Linked DNA regions of Caenorhabditis elegans. The protein of the gene in region 1 interacts with the protein of each later gene in a pairwise test. Each region holds a gene or a part of one and is shown on either strand. Other genes may lie near its edges.

Region 1 (7,495 bases):
ACGAATCCTCTGAGGAAACCATCGAGACCCGCAGAAAGCAACGCCGCTCCTGCCAACAAAGTGACGATTGCCTGAACAACGTCGAGTACGCAGTCTTCCAAAAAGTCTATGCAGACAAGAGAACCAAACGAGAAGCCGTGTTCCGTCGTAAGAAGTGCTCGAGGTGTGGAGTCTCTGGGCTCACGCCACATCGTGTCAAGAGAAACTTCGGGCAGCCGAATATCAACGTCTCGGAGCAGAATTGCATGGCATTCCCACAGTGTCGGCATAGAGTGAAGAGAAACTTTTTGGGAGAAGACTGTAACATCTGTACACAGGATACTGGTCTGAAGCGGAGGAAGAGAGACTTCGGAACAGCGGTAGGTGTTGGTTTAATGAGCTTCCTTATCTTAAAGTTTTCAGCAATGCTACCCATGCCCAGGAACACGTTCATAACTTGAAGCGACTCCCTCCGATTCTCACATATCACATAAATACCACCTCGTAATAATAATTCAACATGACTAATAAAACAAATAAGTACATACATACATTTATATTAGCTTTTAGCACCCGTAGCAATTTGGAGCAAGAAAATATGTGTAAAGAAATTGGAGATGTAGTAGATTTGGTCGTTATAGTGATCGCAGATCTTTCAGCTCTTTGAGCCGGAATATTGACTGGCTTGGAGCCAGGAGATGAACCTCGCGGGGGAATGAGGCAAAGTAGGGGTGAAGCATTGCACTGGCTGCGGAGACACGGCTTTCCGGGCGGAGCTGTAATTTTGAGGGTTACAAGATAGGTGTAGCTCGATGTCGATTCATTTAGACTAGCATTGCAGCCAGGGCTTAAGCTTTCGGCTTGAGCTTGCACTCAAAGATTGCTGCTCAATATAGCTCGCGAAGACTGATTTGTCAAAGATTAGACTAGTAGGCCTGGACTGACTTAAAGGTGGAGTAGCGCCAGTGAAAATTTTGTCAAAATACATACATAATGATCCGAAAAAAAAACCAAATTTCATAATAAAACAATCCAAAAAATTAGATTTTTCACAATTTCAGGTCAAATTTTTGGCAAACTGCTAAAATTTTGAAAAATGAGCAATTGAGGAAATCTAGAGCAATGTCGCATGTTCCGACCCCTACAATATTTTAATACAAATAATTAAAACACAATTACAGTATAAAAATGTAGGAAAAAAAATTTTTTTTTTGTTGGTCGACTTCCAAAATTATGAGTGGTAAAATTACAGTAAATAAAAAATTTTCAAAATTTTTTTGAAACGTTTTATTATGATATTCGGTCTTTTCGGGACTAAAGGAGTGGTTTTTACAAGTCTACTTACCTGAAGAAGCATCCCCAGAAGTTCCTGACCAGTCTTCAGAATCTTCGTGAACATCGGGTTCACCGCGATGAACGACAACTCCCGATACCTGGGGAACAGTTCAGGGGTGTAGCCTGGTAATGTCTTTACCTGAAACAAACATCTTTATCTCTAGATTTTAGATTCCCTCACCTCCGGCCACTTTTTCTCGTCTGGAGTACCCCGAATGCTGAAGATCATATCCAACTGGTCCTTGGTGCCGGGGTAGTGAGAGTCCTTGGATCCCGGGAACAAAGCGGCGCCCGTGCAAATTTCAGCGAATATGCAACCGACTCCCCTGCAAAGTTAGTAGATATAGTTGGTACCTTTTATAAAATAATATCCTCCTACCACATATCCAGGGAAGTTGAATAGTCGGTACTTCCCATGAGAACATCAGGCGGGCGGTACCATAAAGTGACCACCTCGTGAGAATATGTCCTACTCGGCACAGATTTCGCCCTGGCTAGACCAAAGTCTGCGAGTTTTAAAACACCGTCTTCGTCGAGAAGCAAGTTTTGTGGTTTTAAATCTCTGAAAATCAGTTTTTATCAAGAGTTATGGCCGCAACGGCGCCTCCGCCGACCCCAGCGGTCGCCGCGCCGGCCTCCGCGGAACCCCGAAAATGTCCGCCGCTCCAAACAACCACTTTTTTGCACTACGTTGCGCACACACCAGGCTACTCATTTCACGCCAAGCTGCGGAACACCGAACGTGTCCGCCGCTCCAAATAACTCCCTTTCGCAATACGTTGAGCACACACCAAGCTGCGGAACTCCCAACGTGTCGGCCGCTCCGAACAACCACTTCTACGCACTTCATTGCGCACACACCAGGTTACTCATTTCACGCCAAGCTGCGGAACCCTGAACGTGTCCGCCGCTCCAAACAACTCCCTTTCGCAATACGTTGAGCACACACCAAGCTGCGGAACCCCCAACGTGTCGGCCGCTCCGAACAACCACTTCTACGCACTTCATTGCGCACACACCAGGCTACTCATTTCACGCCAAGCTGCGGAACCCCGAACGTGTCGGCCGCTCCAAATGACCACCTTTCGCGCTTCAACGGCGTCGGCGTGAGGCCCGAATTTCGCGCCTCACTCTGCTGGGAGCCCTATCAACACTAGGGAGCAGTTTGAAAACTAACCTATGAAGAATCTTCTTCCTATGACAAAAATCGAGTCCGCGGAGAAGTTGAAAGAGGAGAAGCTTGATGTCAATGCTATCCAACCCATAGACGTTCTGCTCCAGGTACTTGCTCAAATCCATTTTCATGTACTCGAACACAAAAGTTAGCTGGTGGTGTTGATAGAAGATGTCGTGCAAAGAGACGATATTCGCATGACGGAGGTTTCTGAGAAGCGAGGCTTCACGGATAGCGGTGAATGGGAGACCTTCTTGAAATTGAAGTTTGATCTCTTTCAAGGCGACTATGGATCCGTCAAGTCTGAAAATATAATTTAGTTTGGTAATATCAGCTGTTAAAATATCTAACTTCGATTCGCACTTATACACCGTTGCATAAGATCCTTCCCCCAGCTTGTCAATTCGTTTGTACAGATCATTCACATCCTGCGGTGTCACTTCCTCCTTCGCAGGAAGCGTTATCGTATTTGGATCGTAGTGTGCTGATCGTGGTCGACGTCTTCGAAGATGTGTGAAGTCGGCCACAGTGTTGCTAGATGGTGGTGGTGGCATTGATGGAGAGTTCTTGTTTAGGGGCACGGTTGACATGGTTTCAGATGGATTGTTGGAGCGGGAACGTGATTGGCGGCTGAAATGGTATTACTAGGGTTTGATTCGGAAAATTTTCTTAGAAAAACAGTTTGGCGGGAAGTTTAAATTTTCTGATTAAAAATGTTGGCGTAAGTGGTGTCGAAGTGCCCCATTTTGGTTTGATCTACAAAAAATGCGGGAGTTGAGACAAAGACTTTTCAACTGATTTTGCAGGATTAAGCTGACGTCACATTTTCCTGGGGGAAAAATCCCCGCATTTTTTGTAGATCAAGCCGCAATGAGACAGCCTGACACCACGTGTTGACGGGATATTTAAATTTTCTGAGAAAAACATTTTGGCGGGAAGTTCAAATTTTCTGAGAAAAACATTTTGGCGGGAAATTGAAATTTTCTGACAAAAAAATTTTGGCGGGAAATTGAAATTTTCTGACAAAAAAATTTTGGCGGGAAATTGAAATTTTCTGACCAAAAAATTTTGGCGGGAATTCAAATTTTCTGGGAATTAACTTTGGGGAGAAGTTCAAATTTTCTGTAAAAATTTTGGCGGGAAATTGAAATTTTCTGACAAAAATATTTTGGCGGGAAAATCAAATTTTCTGAGAAAAAAAAATTTTGGCGGGAAATTGAAATTATCTGACAAAAATATTTTGGCGGGAAAATCAAATTTTCTGAGAAAAAAAAATTTTGGCGGGAAATTCAAATTTTTTTTTTTTGAAAAGAAAATTCTACGGACCGGAAACGGCCCAACTACGGCTCAAGAGCCGTCTCGGTCGGTAAATGTGTTTTTTGCTCTAAATAATGCATTTAACGACGTAAAAATGCTTAAATTAGCCAACTGGTATCATAGGTATTAAAAAAATTCGTTTTCTTAAAATCCATTTTTTCCTCTTAATGGCCATTTTTTTACATTCCCCGTAGTTTGCCCGTAATTGGTCCGTCCCGCTTTTCATATCCGTAGTTCACCCGTTAATGGTCCGTTCCCGGTCCAAGATCCGTAAACGGACCGTACCGGCTTTGCCTGTGGTCAGATATAACTAGTAAGTCAAGTGGTGTCAGGCTGCCCCATTATGGTTTGATCTACTAAAAATGCGGGAATTTTTCCCCCAGAAAAACGTGACGTCAGCACACTCTTAACCATGCGATACCAGTTGAAAAGTCTGCGTCTCTTCTCCCGCATTTCTCGGAGATCAAACCAAAATGAGGCACTTTGACACCACGTGGTAAGTTATAACAAACATAACAAGGTGTCGAAACTACTGTAATTATAGTCTTACTTCAATATACAACCTAATAAGAATCTCCACCACTTACCTCAAAAAGCTGAAAATATTCTTATTATGATGTTCTGGTGTGCTTCCACTTCCGGACCCCGATGATGCCCCATTCACATGATTGGAGTGCCATGATTGTGTCATTTCATTTGTTCCGTTTTTCGAGATCGGAGATTTGGTGGAGCCTCCTGAAAAAACAGAAATAAATGTGGAATTATATGGGGGCTCATATGTTTTCGGAACTAACCTTTTTGGGAGAAGACTCTGGAGAGCATTTTTGTGTAAACTGACTAACTTGTGCCACCCCCCGCACCCCATAGAATAAATTGGCTAAAATTTCGAAAAAAAAAACTCGCCACCGCCGTTATTCTTGTATTTCTTCTCCTTATTCCGACTCCGACGCAAAGTGAAAATTGACGAGGACGGCTGGAATAATGTTTTGTGTTTGTGTCTTGTGGAAGAGATGCAGAATCGCCGGAAGTTTAGAGGGGGTGGCGTGACTTACTGACCTTCCGGGTGCTCGGCGAGCCGTCCACGTCCTGAATTCGTTGCGGCGACATTGTGGTGATCTGGAATATGTGGAGCGTAATCGAAATATTTAGGCTTAGGCTTAGGCTTAGACTTAGGCTTAGGCTTAGTCTTCGGCTTAGGCTTAGGCTTAGGCTTAGGCTTAGGCTTAGGCTTAGGTTTAGGCTTAGGCTTAGGCTTAGGCTTGGGACTGGGCTTAGGCTTGAGCTTTGGCCTAAGCTTAGGCTTAGGCTTACGCTCAGGCGTAGGATTAGGCTCTGGCTTTGGCTTTGGCTTAGGCTTAGACTTAGGCCTAGGTTCACGCTTAGGCCTAGGCTTACAAGAAATATCCTCATTTACCGACCGACTGTGGCCTAGGATTTCAAAAAATGACCCTTTTTGAAAAATCGAAAAATCGAAATATCGACGAATTTTCGTTTTTGAGGCGTTTTTTTAATTTCAATTTTTATAATTTTTTTCGGTTTTTCGATTTTTCTTGAAAATACCAAACTCACCCTATGCAAGTTCTCCGACGACTTCGAACTCCTAACAGCGGTGAGCTGTGGATGATGTATCATAGACAGTGAGCACGATGCTCTCATAGGCCTCTCGGCCTCCTCCAGCCCAAACCATACTCCAATATGCGAGGTTATTTTTCCCCACATTTGATTGAAAGATGGTATCTGCAAGTGAAATTTTTGGGTGGGGAAAAAGAACGTGAACGAATAATTTGGAGCAGCGGGGGGGGGGGTGGAAAAATGAAGAGCTGCTCGGAGGAGGGAGCCGTACTACGAAATGAGAAGAGGAGAAGCCGGTGTGACGGCGGGGCGTTAATGGGTTACTAAAGCCTCCACATTCCCATTTTCAGCCGTTTCGAAACAAAGAAAATAGAAGAAAAAAAAGACAGATGAAAAATGACTTGGGTGGGTTCGGTGAAAAACAGGAAGCAGGAAGAGTGAGGAAATTGGATGGTGGAAGAGTTTTGGCATTTCTAGGTTACCGGGAATCTTTAGAGACACCTGGGCTGTCCCATTACAGTTTGATCTACAAAAAATGCGGGAATTTTTCGCCCAAAAAATTTTCAACAAATTTAGATATTTTTTACATTTTTTCCCCAATTTTTTCAGCCATATTTCAGCCATGACTGTCCTTTTTTTCGGGCAAAAAAAAATTTTCTCTGAAAATGTTCGAAACTACTAAATTATGCAAGAAGACAATTTTTAAGGTTCGGAGATCAATTTTGAGTCCTCTAGCTTCAAAATTATCCATTTTAGAAGAGTTTTAAAATTGTAATTTTTTACAAAAATTGCTCAATTTTGCCACTTTTTAATAGTTTTCTAAACCTAGATTTTCTGAATTCTGCATATATGAATTACCCGTTTTCAACAAATTTAGACAATTTTTTTCATTGTTTCCAAAATTTTTTTCAGCCATTTTTCAGCCATTACTGTCCTTTTTTTGGGCAAAAAAAATAATTTTTTGAAATTACATTACACACCTTCCATGTTTTCTTCGTAGATTTAAGGTCCATGTCCACTGCTTGGTGGAAGAGTTTTCCGAGTTTTTAGGTCACCGGAGAATTTGAGTTGGAAGAGTTTTCGCATTACTCCCCAACTGTGATAGAACTTCAAAAATGAATATGCAGGGACATCACTCAAATTTGACATGTCAGTTTAAAGGAACACGCTGATTTTCCGAGTGGGTCTCGCCACGATCCAGGTGCTAAATTTTCACAGTTTTTAGTATGTACCTAGTGGCTTATTTCTAAACAACACGCGCATAACATCGGAGTGTCGTTGCATAGGCCACTCTAAAACATAAACAAATGTGTGAAGAAAAATTAAACACAACTAGCACGGATTTCTGACGTCCCTCAGAAGTTGAAATGGAAGAGTTTTTGCCGAACTAGGCCAGGCCATATTCGGGGTAGATTTACGGCGCGTCGCGGCTCGATTTTAGTTGTAAAACTAAATGTATTTGTCCGTGTGGAGTACACGACTTTCCCAAGCGTTGTCCGGCAGGCGATTGTCAATGGAGCGCGAAAATTCAATGAGGAAGGCCAGAACCCCGTGGGATTTTGAAATTTTTTTCAGATATGACAAAAAATGACAATGCCAAATTTAAAATGCATTAATAGCGGACAGAGGAGAGAATAAGTAGGGAAAAAAGAAGAAAAAAAAAGACGGGCGGCGCTTCTCTCATAAAATAGTAATTGGTCATTCTAAGTGTGCCTATTGTTCCTTATTTTTCGCTTTTTCTTGGCTCATTTTAGCTCAAAAACCAAATGTCGAAGAGTTTCTAGAGAACTAGGCCACGAGAGGGAAAAACTAGGTCACTGGAATTTCTACGCTAAAAATTTGGCCCAGCATATTTACCTACGTGGCCGTAAAAGAGAAAGTTCGGCCACTAACTTTTTCGGGCTATCAAAAAAGGTTTACCAAAACTTTATAAAAAAGAAACCACTTGTGGAAAATGGCCGTGCATACTAAAGTTCGGCCACAAACTTTTTTAAAACTTTTTTGCTCAAATTGAAGTACAGGACCACTTCGATGGGCGGTTTTCACTACTTGGCCGTGTAAGAGAAAATTCGGCCACCAACTTTTATTCAAGGCCACACCTCCAAATCCTTCAAAGCT
Region 2 (6,851 bases), on another chromosome or scaffold:
CGAGTACGGGCGTTACGTCTTTTTTATCCAACACTATCTGGCAATCTATCGTTTATTAATCCAATAATGCTATTAATGATGAATCGGGATGTTCAGAGCGCGTTTTGTTGCCGGTTTAAGGTAGGTCTCATGGCAGAGAATGGCAGAGAAAAACCTCTTCCACGGCCACGTGTCGATTTACGAAGCTTGTGTACTCGTAGTGGAAAAGTGTGAATTTTTTGTAGAGGATTTTGCAGTACTTTTTTCGCCGAAAATATTCATTTTGCGCAGTTTCGCCAAATTTTTTGTATTCGACGTTAACTGCAAAAATTGACGAAATTAGTGCAAAATCAAAGATTTACGCCCAAAAAAAATTCCCACTTCTCCTCGAGGAGTACACGAGCCGCGTAAATTGACACCGGGCAGTGTACGAATAAAGCTCACCCAAAAAACTGTGTATTTCAGAAATCCCAAAGCACCGTGTCAATGGCGCCCAAAATTGTGCAGTCAAGTACTAGAGATCGATGTTGAGGGAATTTTTATTATAATAAAACTTTATTGATTCAAAATTACTATTAAAATTGACACATACACACGCACGGAGAACCGTAAAACAAATTCAGATCGGGGGAACGAGGGAATGAATATTTTAAAAATTGGGTGCGGGGGACGGGATTTTGCTTTTAAAAAACTCCCGAAAATAGTATGAAAATCATCAAAAATTGTTAAAAAGGGAAGTGTTGATAATTTTGCTAATCTGCGGCGGGAGCTGTTCAGCATAATTCGGGAAAAAAATTCGGAAAAATGAATTCGGATTTTTTTTCCAAACAAAAAAAATATTTTCAGACTATTTTGGGAATTTTGAAGCAATTTTAAAGCCCCGTAATACAAATATAAATTATTCTCCACCAAGCAGAGTCTGCTCATCGAGATCCAATAGTTGACTCGGTGATATCATATCAGTTGGCTCGGCGAGCAGCAGATCCTCCTCAGAGAACTGATTGCAGGCGGCAATGCTAATTTCATCGGACGTTGATTCGATTGTCGAGGAAGTGATGAGATCTTCGGATGAAATGGATGGTCCGGGTCCTGTTGATGGTGCTGAAAATGTCAGTTTCACGTGGTGTCAGAGTGTCTCATTTCGGCTTGATCTACGTAGATCTACAAAAAATGCCGCAGACTTCTCAATTAATTTCGCATGGTTGAGAACGTGCTGACGTCACACTTTTTAGGCAAACAAATCGCGCATTTTTGTGTAGATCAAACCGTGATGGGACAGCCTGACACACACAGACGTAAAATTTTGCACCAAAAGTTCGGTACGTACGGTCTCGACACGACAATTTTTTGCGCCTTTTCTCACTGAATAAAAATTTGTTGTTTCGAGACCGAGTACAGTATTTTTTGCGCCTGATTAATATCTCACCTTCAGTTGTCCCAAAAAGCGGCACAACCATCGCTGGGAGCCGTTCGAACGGCTTTCTCTGATGCCACGTCACAGGTGAATCTACGGGCGGTCCACTAGCCGGCCGAGCCGGGCGTTCGGGCTCTTCATCAAGCCTGATCTTCACTTGAATAGTCTTTTTAAGACCTTCCATCTTCGTTGGATCCGGCCTCATTGGAGTCTTCAGATAGGCTGGAAGTTCCTCGAGATTCTGAACCACTGCATCCTCCTCTTCCTCCATCATTATTTGTTGCTGCTCCTGCTTCAACTTTTCAGCTTTCAAATGCTCAATTTCTTCTTCCATTCTGGACAGCTGCTTCTCGTACGTCGTTTTGATAGTCTCTATGGCAATGTATATTGTTTCCTGGAACTTGTGAAAGTGATTAGAATTTTTCCCATTTTTTCCGGTTTTTTGTCAATTTCCTGCTAAACCTACCACAGTCATCTCATTGTGCACCGCCGGTTTTTCTTGTTTCAATCGTAACTCGAGTTTTTCGATTTTATCATTTGCCGCTTTTAATAAGGTTGCTGATTTGTAGTTTGCCAATCTGATCTCATCTTCTTTCCGGATGAGCTCTTCTTCGATATTTCTTTTGTCAGTGATGCTCGAATTCTCGAGCTGCTGAGAGCTGTCAAGTTCTCGGAGCAGACGTCTGAAATTAGTTTACGGTTTTCTGAAACTTAAACTTTTTTTAAAACTCAAAACTCACTGAATTTCTGCATTGGCCAATTGCAAATCCGCCTCCGCCTTCTTCACATTTAACTGAGCACCTTGCACGAACTTTTGACGGGCTTCCATTCTGAAATCTCGTCTTAAAAATGCGTTCCATTAGAAAAAAAAAATTTTTTTTAATTGTGGTGACAGTTATGAACTCGCGGAGCCGTGGAAGCAAATCCGCAAGTCTTCGAACTTCCCGTACTATTCTCTTGCATCCTTATTAAATCATACCAACCCATTGAAAGGAAAGGCGTAGAGTGCAAGGTGCATGCGGCAGCGGGGGTCGAGCCGAACCCCAGCCGTCTGGCAGTCAAGCGCGTTACCGCCTGCGCCACCAGTGTAACAGCCTCCGTGCTGTCTACTTACTCTTCATGCTGCTGACGATTTTGCGCCACTACCGTCTCGCATTTCGTCTTGAGCGCCGCATTTCGTTCGTTCAGAGCGTTGATTTGTTGGCGAACAATTTCTGATTGATACGTTATTGCTCGGATTTCCTGGAATTTTTTTTTTGGTTTTCAAATTTTCCGTTAAATTATATATAAAAACCTCCTCTTTAGCTTCCGTCGCATTTCTCGCCTGGGTAACATCATCTCGGAGCATCCGATTCGCCACTTCTAGTCCATTAATTCGCTGAAAGTATTATAAACATTTATTGTCCATTTACGCAGGTCGTGTACTCCCCGAGGAGAAGTAAGAATTCATTTTTCGAAAAATTTCACATTTTTTGGCTAAAATTCTTGCTTTTCAACCATTTTTTGCCAGTTTTTGAGAGAATTTTCAGCTCTTACATTTGCCATTTCAACTTTCGAATCATTCATCATTCTCCTCTCGGACATTATCTCGTTACATCGTTTGTTGGCTTGATCTCGTTGGATTTGAGCATTTCTGAGCAAAAAATCGATATATTTTTCAAATTTTCTTGATATTTGCTATAATTCTCCTAAAATATTACACATCAGCAAAAAATGCGACATTCGCGGTCTCGAAACGACAATTTTTGTTAAGTTCGAAAAGGTGTGCGCCTTTAAAAAGTACTGCAGTTTCAAACTCCCATTTTTGCGGAATTTTATCAATTTTTCACGATTCGTAGATATTTAGGTGTTTTTATTGTTCTAAATAATTGAGTTGTTTCAACAAAAAAAATCGCTTTTTATCGAAAAACTGTGAAAAATCAATTTATTTGTAAAAAAACCCCTAAATATTTACGAATCGTGAAAAATCTATGAAAAATTGATAACGAAAGTTTGAAACTACAGTACTCTTTAAAGGCGCACACCGTTAGAATTTAACAAAAATTGTCGTGTCGAGACCGGGTACCGTAGTTTTGACACGAAATTCGAAAAATTTTGCGGCTGCGTAATATTTTCATCAAGCAAAATCACTATCTGAGTAATCATTAAAAAATTCTCGAAAAACAGAAAAAAAAAAGATTTTTCAGCAGAAGCATGGCCTTCCAGAGTCCCTCGTATCTTGAAATGGCAGAGCTGGGAACCTCGGCCGCGGCCATGACCGCGACGCAACTGCTCGCGGAGCGGCTTGTGATTTTTTTTATCATTTTAGCTAATTTTTTTGATGAGCCGCTCCGCGCATGCAGCTGCGTCGCGGTCGTGGCCGCGGTAAAACTCTTCCATTTCAAGGAGCAGAAGAAGCTATTCATGTAATCACCGCAATTCTTGTTGGAGCATTTGACACCGCTGAGCTTCAATTTGTTGACCGCCTTGCGCGGCGTTCAACGCGGCTTTCAGCCGATGAATTTCGGCTTCCAACATATTATTCGTCTGCAAAAGCTGTGACGCCGAGTAGCCCATTGGTTGTGGTTGTACGGTTCCAGGCGGGAGTCTGAAATTTTTGAAAATTGAAACTTTTGGAAAAATCCGATTTTCGGGCAATTTTTCGCGAAATTTTCCTGGTTTTTCCCCTATAAAAATCGAGAAATATGGAATTACAGTAATCCTTTTTGTAATTAAAAATCGATCGTTTCGAGACCTGAATAATAACAAAAAAACCAACCCAAAAGCTGGATTAATATGAATTCCAGCCGTTCCATTCCGTTCGTATGATCTACTGCGGCTCCGTGTACGGGATCGACGCTTGTGTCTATGCTGAAATTATTGATTTTTACGGAAATTTTTGGGACTTTGTGTACTCCTCGTGGAAAATGATATTTTTGCAAGAGGATTTTTTCGATTTTTTCAAAAAAAAATTTTTTGGCTTTTTTTTTGGAGTTTTTAGAAAGCAAATATAGAATTTCTGGAATTTTAAAAAAATTTTTTTTGAATAAATCAACAGATTTTGAGGATTTTTTTCTGGTTTTTTCGATTTCTGGCGTTTTTTGGGAAAAATTACAATTTTTCAATATTTTTAGTAATTTCTCAGCTTTTCTCATCAAAATCCACAAAATTCTGATTTTTCACGGATTTCTGGCTTCCCTCATAAATTGAAATGGACGAGTTTGCCGAACTAGGCCATTCTGGCTCGGCCATATCTGGGGTAGATTTACGGCGCGTTGCGTGTCGCGTCGCGGCTCGTTCTTACTTTTTGCGTTTTTTTTTCGTAAATTTTTTTTTGAATTTAGGATTTTAACAGAAAAATACTTAGAAAAAATCAGCGAAAATTAGCGAAAATGATCCAAAATCAAGAATTCCTGCCAAAAAAAAAACTGAAAAAATCCTCTTTTCCTCGTGGAGTACACGAATCCCGCGTAAATCCACAACCTTCTTATGTCTGCGTCTACTATCTCTATCTCTCGATCCACTACGGCTTCGTCGTCCGCTGTCCATGATAATGACCCGTTTTGTCTGAAAATTTCTGAAAATTTCTTTTCCATTTTTTTCCAACTATTTTGGTGTCAATGATACAATAATGTCAGTCTCTGAGCACTGAAAAAATTCGTCTAAAAATCGCACAAAGAATTCAAAATTTGGGGGAAAAAGTTCAATTCAATCGATATATGGTGTGTATGTGTGTGTGTATGTTTGTGTATATAAATACAAAAAATTCATACAGAGAGAGAGAGAAAGAGGGGGAGAGAGTGAATTTTTTTGTTTCTTCGCAATTTTTGGGACATTTTGAGGAGGAGGGGGATCTTTACAACACTAATATTAAAAAATATTCCATACATTATTTTTGGTATTGATATTTGATACTACTAGAGACAACAGACATACAAAAAAAAATAAAACGGGGCACAAAAAAATGTATATTTAAAAATCTGAAATAGTTCAGTAATATTACCCAGTTGCGGAGAAAATATCGATTTTTGATTAAAAAAGGTCTCGACGCTATCGTGCGCCTTTAAAGGGGTGCTGTAGCAAATTGTTTTTTCGCGGCGAGACCCTAATTTTCCGCCAAAAATCACCATTTGTTCGCAACTCGATAATAGAATTTGGGATACAACAAAAATATTATGAATAGAGAAAAATCTGGAATAAAATATGTGGAAAACGACGACGAGAGAGAGAGAGAAAGGGAAAAGTGGAGAGGGAAAAGAAAAACACGAAGACATGGTGAGCAAAAACACGAATTTTCAGAAAAGAGGGCGAAAAATGGAAGAAATTCAATAAAATTTGGGGGAAAAAAGGAAAAATAATAAAAAAAGAGAAAAATAATATTAATGATGGCGTTTATTTTTTGGTTGGGGTGGGGTGGGTAATGTGTGTGATTTAGCGGGTTTTCGGGGATTTGTGTGTGTACAATTATCGATTGATTTTATTTCAAATAAAATGGTTTCGATCCAGCAGCAGAAGACGAGAGAGTGTGTATAAGAAGGAGACGCAGAGACGGAGAGCATTTTGGAAAAATAGAAGAGGTGCTTATCATCATATATATCACCATTGATATCGAGTTTTTTTTTTTGAAGAAGAAGAATAAGAAATGATTGATAGGAGCTTTATCTGAAAAAATATAGATTTTTTTGGGTCTTGAAGCGATTTTTTTGACGGGAAAAGTATTTTTTCGGCTAAAACTTACGGAAAGTCAATTTTTTTTTCAAAAATTCGATTTTTGAAGCGATTTTTTTTTGACTTAAAAATAAATTTTCCAACCAAAAAAATTCCAGGAATTTTAATTTTTTAAATGTAAGATATTGTGTGTCGATTTACGGTGGTCTTGTGTACTCTCCGAGGAGAAGTTTATTTTCAGTGGGTGTTTCGCTTTAAAAAACTGGATTTTGGACCATTTTCGCAGATTTTTCTAATATTTAGCATTGAAATCGCAATTGTTCGGTTCTTAGGTGAAAAATTGGTGAAAATCACACATTTTAGGATTTTTTTTTCGATTTTTCAGGTTTTTCAGTGTAGAAAAACCAAGAAAAAACTCGAAATTTCTCGCTGAAAAATCTTATTTTTTTTATTGAAAAAAAACTGGCGAATTTGAAATTTTGTTGATTTCAATGAGAAAACCATAATTTAAAAAAAAGAAGTTTTTTTTTGGATTTTTTTACAAAATAATTTATTTTTCGTTTTTTTTTGGAAATAAAATTTTTTAACTGCGAAAATGCTCCAAACCGAGCATTTCAGCCAAAAAAAATGTCCAAAATCGTCAGTTTTAGCTTCTTCTCCTCGGGAAATACACGTAAATCCACATTTCCATGCTCCAAAATTGCTCACTTTTTAGCCGGCGTCGTCGTTTCTGATCCTGTTGACGATTTCTTCACTACAGATGGAGATTTATCACCGCCACCTGCAGTTGCAACTGGCAGTGGCGTCATAT
Region 3 (6,832 bases), on another chromosome or scaffold:
AACCCACATAATTTTTCAAAAATCCTTTTGAGCCTTAAATAAAACAGAAAATAATTATCGACTCGAATTTATGAAAATTTTGGATAAAATTTCGAACATGTTTCTGATAATTTTTAAAGAACTTTAAAAAATGAACTGATGATGTAATTAGACGTTAAACGATTATTATCAGATTTCAGATTTTTACGAATTATTGCTTTCAGATTGGCTACACCCGTGCATACACTGGCTTAGAGCAATGGATTTGTGATCAATCTTACTGTAATGCTGATCTCAAATCAGCTGAACTCTCTTGGCCACCTGAGCTATATTTATACAGGTTGTGACTCTTGACAACTGAGAAATAATTTTGATTATTTCAGAAATATATCAAATCTCCGAGAGTTCAATGTTTTCTACATCGACTCCGCTCGCTCGTCATCCTCGATTTTTCTTGCCATTCCCATCGTTTTTCTAATTAATTATTGCCTTTTCCACTGAACCACCTTTTTCTTTCATTTTTACAAATGCTTTCAATATTTTCATATGAACAAATTTATATTTCTTCAAATTACTTCATTTTCAAACAATAAAAGCACCGGAGATTCTATGTTCTCTTTCTCAATATTATTTATTCTTCATCGACTTTTCTTTGAACCCATACGATTTTTTTCTGCTCGTCTTCAATTATTTTTTTCAGCTGAAAAATAATAAAAAGTTAAGTGCGGCACGAATTGAAAGAATAATTACCTGTAGAACAGCGTGAGTCATCATGAAGCTGACATTATTATGACTTGGCACTACAAGTGTAACTGATCCATCAAGATCTTTTTCTATTTTCAAATCCTGAAAATTAATTATTGGTATATCGAAAATTTTTTGAAAAGTTTCGAAAAAGTATTGTGAAAAGTTTCTATAGACTCCGATGAGAGCCTCTGATCCGCCTCTTCAATTGCCCGCTGCGTTTTTGGATGAGAGGCAATGAGACGACGGTAGAGACCGGGCGGGTTAATTATGTTTTCGTAAATTACCGTACCTTTTCAATAAGCTGTTTGGCTTCTTTTGAACTGATTTTCTCTCCACAAATATGTTCATTGACATCTTTTAACTGTTTAACTGACTTGAATCGAATCTTCACAAGAATAGGGAACATTCTACATCTTTTCAATCGATCAATTGCAGACTGATCAACTTGGAGGACACAATGGAGTCTGAAAATCTCAGCATAACTATGAAAATGTTTGAAAACTCAACCCTTGAGCCGTGATATCCATAATATGAGCAGTTGATACGACGTGATAAAGATCATAAACATCATCGTTTTGTTTCGAATCAATCAATACTTTATCCTTCAATAAAGCCGATACTTCATCCAAACTTGCAGTTAAAGACTCTCTTGCAACAATTGAAAACTTATCAGATTCATCAACAAGCATTTGAAGGAAAGGCTCAACAACTGCTCCAAACAAAAGAACCGGTCGTTTCACTTTTGTATCCAACTTCTCAACCCACTCATAAGCCTTCTTCGGGAACGGATTTGCATATCTGTTAGCTCGAATTGCCTGATAAACAGTCGTTGAACTTGGAATAGCTCCATGTTCTCTTTGTCGTCCCTCTTTGTCCACTTTCCATGCTCTCCATCTTCCAGTTTTGCCCATTAACATAGTCTTGTCAACGAAAACAACATCACCACATTTTAAATCCAGTTCATCTTTGTTCTCCATTGATCTATCGATATTAACACGAAGGAAGAAACTGTCACCGTCAGCTCCAAGTCTCAAACGATTCAATCGATCTCCACCGTCTTGAACTAGAAGACCTGTTAACTCCGAATTATCAGCTGATAAAGTATTCATTGCACACTCGAGTGTTGTATTTCGAACGCAATTTCCATCGATTGATAAAATGAGATCTCCTTCGAGAAGGTCAGAACCAATTGATTTTTCAGCGAGGATACCTAAAATATAGCGGAGATTATTTTGACATGAATTGCTTTCTCGTACCAATCGCATTTCCACCACAAAGTTTTACATCACTTCTTGGAACCTCGACCAGTCTCGGTTGAGATGAACGGTTTACAAGAAGAGATTCAGAGTGATGATTTCCACGTGGCAAGTGATATTTCTTATTGGATCTTCCCTCAGCGTAACTGTGCATTGCACTTCCAGTTGTTGAAATTGAAAAATCACTTCCATCTTTACTTATGCAATGACGTGGAGGTACTCCACTCCCTCCAGTCAAGCTGCAGGTAGCTGAAACAATTTCTAGACTACAGCAGTTAACTTTTGAAAACCTACAATTATTAGGATACTGATTGGAAAAACTTGTGCTTGGAAGTCGAATGGAGTTACTCGAAGACATAACAGAAGACATAGAGTCATCCCGAATTGTAGGATATACTGGTGGATGACTTGGACTGTAAACAGCTGATCTTCTGTGGGGTTTTCCTTCCATTATAGTTGATGATGTAGGTGTGAAGTGCATAGAATATGGACGAGCATCTGAAGTTGTCGTGTTCGATGAAAAGCTTCTTCCATCCCATCCTCCTCGATGAGATGATATTTGAGACATTGTTCGTTTTTGCTCACTATTTTGACGGATTAGTCTTCTGAAAGTCAGAGTTTTCTTCTTTTTTTTGACTAAAAATGTCAAGAATCTTACGTCACAGGTGACGTTGGTGTGCTAAATATGGTACTCTTAGGAACATATACTGGAACTCCTTCGATATTGGTTCCAGCAAATACGAGATCTTTTTCATTAACTGAAGATGGGCTCCATAAAGCTGTTGGAGCGGCTGTTGAAGATGAACTTATTTCAGAATGCGCTGTGGATCTGAACATTCAACTTTGTAGTAATCAAATTTGAAGGAAACTAACTTTGCATTGAATCTTTTATCCAGTGCATCCAGCATTAATTTTGTATGATCAATGCTACTTGAATAGGTTGGAGCACGTAGAGAACCATACCGTACCAAGGGACTCATTGATGCTGGAGAAGCTTGTGGCATTCGCAGAGATCCCTGACGAAGAAGAACTTGATCATTTGAACGATCAATATTCGCTTTTGCAACAACAGTTCGCTCTTTATCAGATCCACCATTTCGACTGAACCACTGAAACAAGAATACTAAAGTTTCACTAGCATTTTATAACGAAGGTTTACCCTCGAAAATATAGTTTGTCGATGTTTATCCTTTCCATTATGATCACCTCGTTTAGTAGATTGAAGAATTCCAATGACTAGAGGCTCTCGAGAATTTTTAATTAGCATCTCAGCATGTTTAGCATCATAAACAGGAGTGTGCATAACATGAACAACTCGTTGCCCTGGAGCCAATCCACTACGAGAAGCAGCACCGTTTGGTTCGCAGGAATTAATGAATACTCCATTGGATAGTTCAAGACCTACACCTGAAATGTAAAACTACACTCTTAAATGTAATAAGTAACTCACCATAGTTCAATGGCAGACAAACATCACTAATTTTATTGCAATTTGATCTTCTTCTAATAACAAGATGAATGTGATGACAGTTGGATAACATTCCCATTACACTTCTTTCGTCCATATCTGTTACAGATATGTCATTGACCATCATTATATGATCCAGCTTTTTCAATACATTATCAAATGGAGAACCGTGAGCAATTTGTCTAACATATATTGGACCATGAACAATTGAACCATCGTCCGTACGGCCTCCACCAAGCATAATTCCCAAGTTTGGTTTGTTGAAGGGCTGAAATTAATTTCGTTTTTAATTTTTATCTTGGCTGTCTGAAACGAAACGATTGAAATGAGTTTTCTTTCAACTTACCAAATTAATTTGAACAGAATGAGTATTCCAAATATCCACAATTGCATCTCCAGTTGTCTGTTGACATTTTCTCAAAGCTTCATCTCTTTCTTCTGTAATTCTAGCTCCATTTTGTTCTGCTTCTGTAAGCCTTGCAATTGCAGCTTCTTTTCGAGCATTTGCCTGAGCAGTTTCTTCCATATTGACTTTCAAGAGTCTTCTTGTATTTTCAAGTTTCTGTTTTAATGCAGCAACTTCTTCAGAATCCTGAAATTTTTTTTTAATTTGATTGTCATTGTAAAATCAAACCTCTTTCATTTTTTCAATTTCTTTTTGCAGTCGATCCCTCTCTTCATTTTGACGAGAGTTTTCTTCTAATACAATACTTCTTTCCTGCATTGTTTCCTCATAATCTCTCTGGAGAGCTTCATATTGTAACCGTAGCCGTTTGTTCGCTTCTTCAATTTCCATTTTATATGTTTCACTTCTGAAATATATTTTTTTTCATAACGGGCCATTTTCCAATGGTTTTTAAATATTTATTAGTTTTCTTCTGCTGAAAATTATTTTCGAACGTTTAAAAAAACTTGAATTTCAAATTTTTAAAGCCATTCAAATTTTTTACAACATCATTATGATTAAAAACTGGCCCGAAAAGTTTCAGATCGACAATTCTCTAGTTTAAAGTGCACCAACAAATTCTCTCAAAAATGACATATTGATTTTATTTCGAAATTTCAGGAAGTTAACTACCACTTATCATATACATTTTGGTACCAATTCCAGGTCTTTTTAATTTTCAATAAACATTTTTGAGCTTTTCTAGTGATTTAAATCATGAACTAACCTATGTACTTGTATTTGTAGACTATCAATTTTCTCTTCAAACTCATCAATTTTCTTTCCAATATCATCTCGCTCTTCAGATGCTTTTCTAACTTTTTCCATCCATTTTGCCTCAACTTCTCGAATCTCTTTTTCCATTTCCTCTGCAATCCGTCTTCGTTCTGCTTTTTCAAACTTTAACTGTTTCACTAATTTCTCTTTTTCCACATCTTCAAGCTTTTCCTCTTCATTTTCATTTTCATCCTCTTCAACTGACAAACTCGACGGTTTTGCTTCCACTTCTACCATATAGAATTCTGAATGAAAAACGGAGAAATGGGTCAACTGGACGACATACGGAAAGGACTAATTATAGAAGATGGAATAGGAGAAAAGATAGAAAGAAAATAAGTGAGAAACCGGTCGAATGCGCAGGAATATCACACTGATTTGTTCATTCGGTTCGTATGGAATAGATGGAGGAAAAGAAGAAGACGGGTGAATTAGAAATAACACAATTTGAAGAAATTTCCTTCAATTAACAGTTAAAATTAGTTGGAATTTGAAGGTTACTACAAGAATGAAAATAGAGGCACTTGAAAATAGAAACGAGATGTTTTTAAATATTCTTTTGGAAATACATGACAGATTTTTGAAATACAGACCAACGTTATTGTTTTGCTAATGAAATGAAGGAACATATACCACAAACGAAACACTAAAAAAACTAGAAATACTGAAAAACTCAACTTTCGATAACGATTTTCCCAAAACCTGACTAAGCTCACTGTTTGAATTTCTTTCAAAATGAAAACTGTGAAAATAATCAGTAATTTGTTCCACATATTTTTATACCAATCAGATGAAGTGTGTGCGGAGATCAAAAGCCACACTGCGATATTCCAACTGAACATTCAGATTATAAGATCCATATATTTCAAAATAAAAACAATACTCACAGTGTTTCGATCCAACGAAAATTCACACAAAAACTGTCTTAATACGGTCAAGATGGGCGGTGCATGGGTCCGAAATAATCCGTTAAAAGACGAGTTTGCAGGAAAAGGAAAAGAATAAACATACGAGTCTTGCCATCATCATCGCCTCAAATACAAACATACAAGGCAGAGAATCTTAACAAAAAACTATGTTTTGATACGTTTTTCCATGTTTCGATAATATAAATTTTTACTTGGCTCTTGGTAAACTTTAAGCTTTTTTTTTTGACTTTTGACAAACTTTGGAGCTCCTACCTTTGAACAAAATATAAAACATCGCTAGTTGGTAACCTGATCAATTTTTTAAAAATAGAGTCGATTTAAAATTTAGGCCGTTAGCTTTAACAGAATATGTAGAAACGCTGTTTTCTAGAAGAAAATATTATTTTGAATATTTCAACCGTGAGAGATAGTGTAATAAAATCGGTTAAACTTTAACCTTAAAAACCCACATGACTTTTTTCAACAAACGATATATGTGTATTTACAATGTTTGTGATGTGTGAAACGAATTGTTTGAAGTTTGTTCAAATTGAATTGAGATGAAATAGAAAAATGAAAAGAGTAGGAGAAGGAGTAGGGAATTTTATGTAGGAATTTTAATTGAACTTGAACTACATGTCATTCTTGTGAATCTGAAAAATTACCTATAATATAATAGGGCTTCCATGCAAATAGAGGGTGCCTACTTTCGTGCCTACGAGGCAGGTGTAACTAGTTTTTAGGGTGATATACCAAAGAAACCTATCACTGGAGTTGAGGAATAATTTCAGGCTAGTAGTCCTAGGTGTATTTCACAGCATGTTGACAATTTACAAATAGACGTTTATCAGTAACAATTCATAGAAAATTTCTGTGAAAATGATTTTATCTTTAATACATAGCTGAGATTTAAATGTAGTTGAAATCCCATTGACTAAATTCTAATCCACTTCTGATGGTAAACTCAATTTCATAAGGAACATTCTAACTTCATGAAATAATAAAAGATAAAACATTTCATAACAAATCATGTATCCAAGTAGATTGAAGAGAAGTAGGTTATTAGAGAGAAATGAGAGGATACATACAGATACAGGTCGGTTGCGATGGGCGCACGACGAACGAACAGTTCCTCCCGGAAAGTGAAAGAGAAATGCGGGAGAAGGTGGGTGAAATAGTGTTTGAAAACAAGAGAGTTTAGGTAGACAACCAAAGAAACTGTACGAATGGGACGCATGGACAAACACGCTCG

Evidence for each region.
Region 2: the proteins of cdk-14 (region 1) and W08G11.3 interact in a two-hybrid assay, tested with the Caenorhabditis elegans proteins (one large-scale study listed by BioGRID).
Region 3: the proteins of cdk-14 (region 1) and magu-4 interact in a two-hybrid assay, tested with the Caenorhabditis elegans proteins (one large-scale study listed by BioGRID).

What each region holds. Positions count from the first base shown.
Region 1 is NC_003279.8:841,222-848,716, forward strand, and holds cdk-14 (Protein kinase domain-containing protein), read right to left. Parts: upstream 5,543-7,495; 5' UTR 5,525-5,542; coding exon 5,375-5,524; intron 5,271-5,374; exon of another isoform or gene 4,950-5,270; intron 4,922-4,949; coding exon 4,862-4,921; intron 4,779-4,861; coding exon 4,709-4,778; exon of another isoform or gene 4,628-4,708; coding exon of another isoform or gene 4,600-4,627; intron 4,541-4,599; coding exon 4,393-4,540; intron 3,119-4,392; coding exon 2,840-3,118; intron 2,792-2,839; coding exon 2,492-2,791; intron 1,877-2,491; coding exon 1,694-1,876; intron 1,641-1,693; coding exon 1,496-1,640; intron 1,454-1,495; coding exon 1,325-1,453; intron 756-1,324; coding exon 615-755; 3' UTR 521-614; downstream 1-520. Other genes in the region: ZC123.1 (Sperm mitochondrial-associated cysteine-rich protein-like), read left to right, coding at 1-359, 403-435.
Region 2 is NC_003283.11:16,365,779-16,372,629, reverse strand, and holds W08G11.3 (Trichohyalin), read right to left. Parts: upstream 4,950-6,851; 5' UTR 4,922-4,949; coding exon 4,856-4,921; coding exon of another isoform or gene 4,853-4,855; intron 4,244-4,852; coding exon 4,152-4,243; intron 3,981-4,151; coding exon 3,807-3,980; intron 3,027-3,806; coding exon 2,930-3,026; intron 2,772-2,929; coding exon 2,688-2,771; intron 2,636-2,687; coding exon 2,508-2,635; intron 2,412-2,507; exon of another isoform or gene 2,275-2,411; intron 2,224-2,274; coding exon 2,134-2,223; intron 2,077-2,133; coding exon 1,860-2,076; intron 1,794-1,859; coding exon 1,406-1,793; intron 1,081-1,405; coding exon 878-1,080; 3' UTR 518-877; downstream 1-517. Other genes in the region: srv-34 (G-protein coupled receptors family 1 profile domain-containing protein), read left to right, coding at 1-213; Serine/threonine-protein phosphatase 2A regulatory subunit pptr-1, read right to left, coding at 6,031-6,034, 6,749-6,851.
Region 3 is NC_003282.8:10,007,893-10,014,724, reverse strand, and holds magu-4 (PDZ domain-containing protein), read right to left. Parts: upstream 4,973-6,832; 5' UTR 4,910-4,972; coding exon 4,623-4,909; intron 4,263-4,622; coding exon 4,085-4,262; intron 4,043-4,084; coding exon 3,797-4,042; intron 3,719-3,796; coding exon 3,433-3,718; intron 3,390-3,432; coding exon 3,142-3,389; intron 3,092-3,141; coding exon 2,856-3,091; intron 2,812-2,855; coding exon 2,641-2,811; intron 2,588-2,640; coding exon 2,277-2,587; intron 2,232-2,276; coding exon 1,983-2,231; intron 1,937-1,982; coding exon 1,234-1,936; intron 1,191-1,233; coding exon 1,016-1,190; intron 826-1,015; coding exon 730-825; exon of another isoform or gene 680-729; coding exon 611-679; 3' UTR 518-610; downstream 1-517. Other genes in the region: F44D12.2 (DUF7622 domain-containing protein), read left to right, coding at 204-319, 363-480.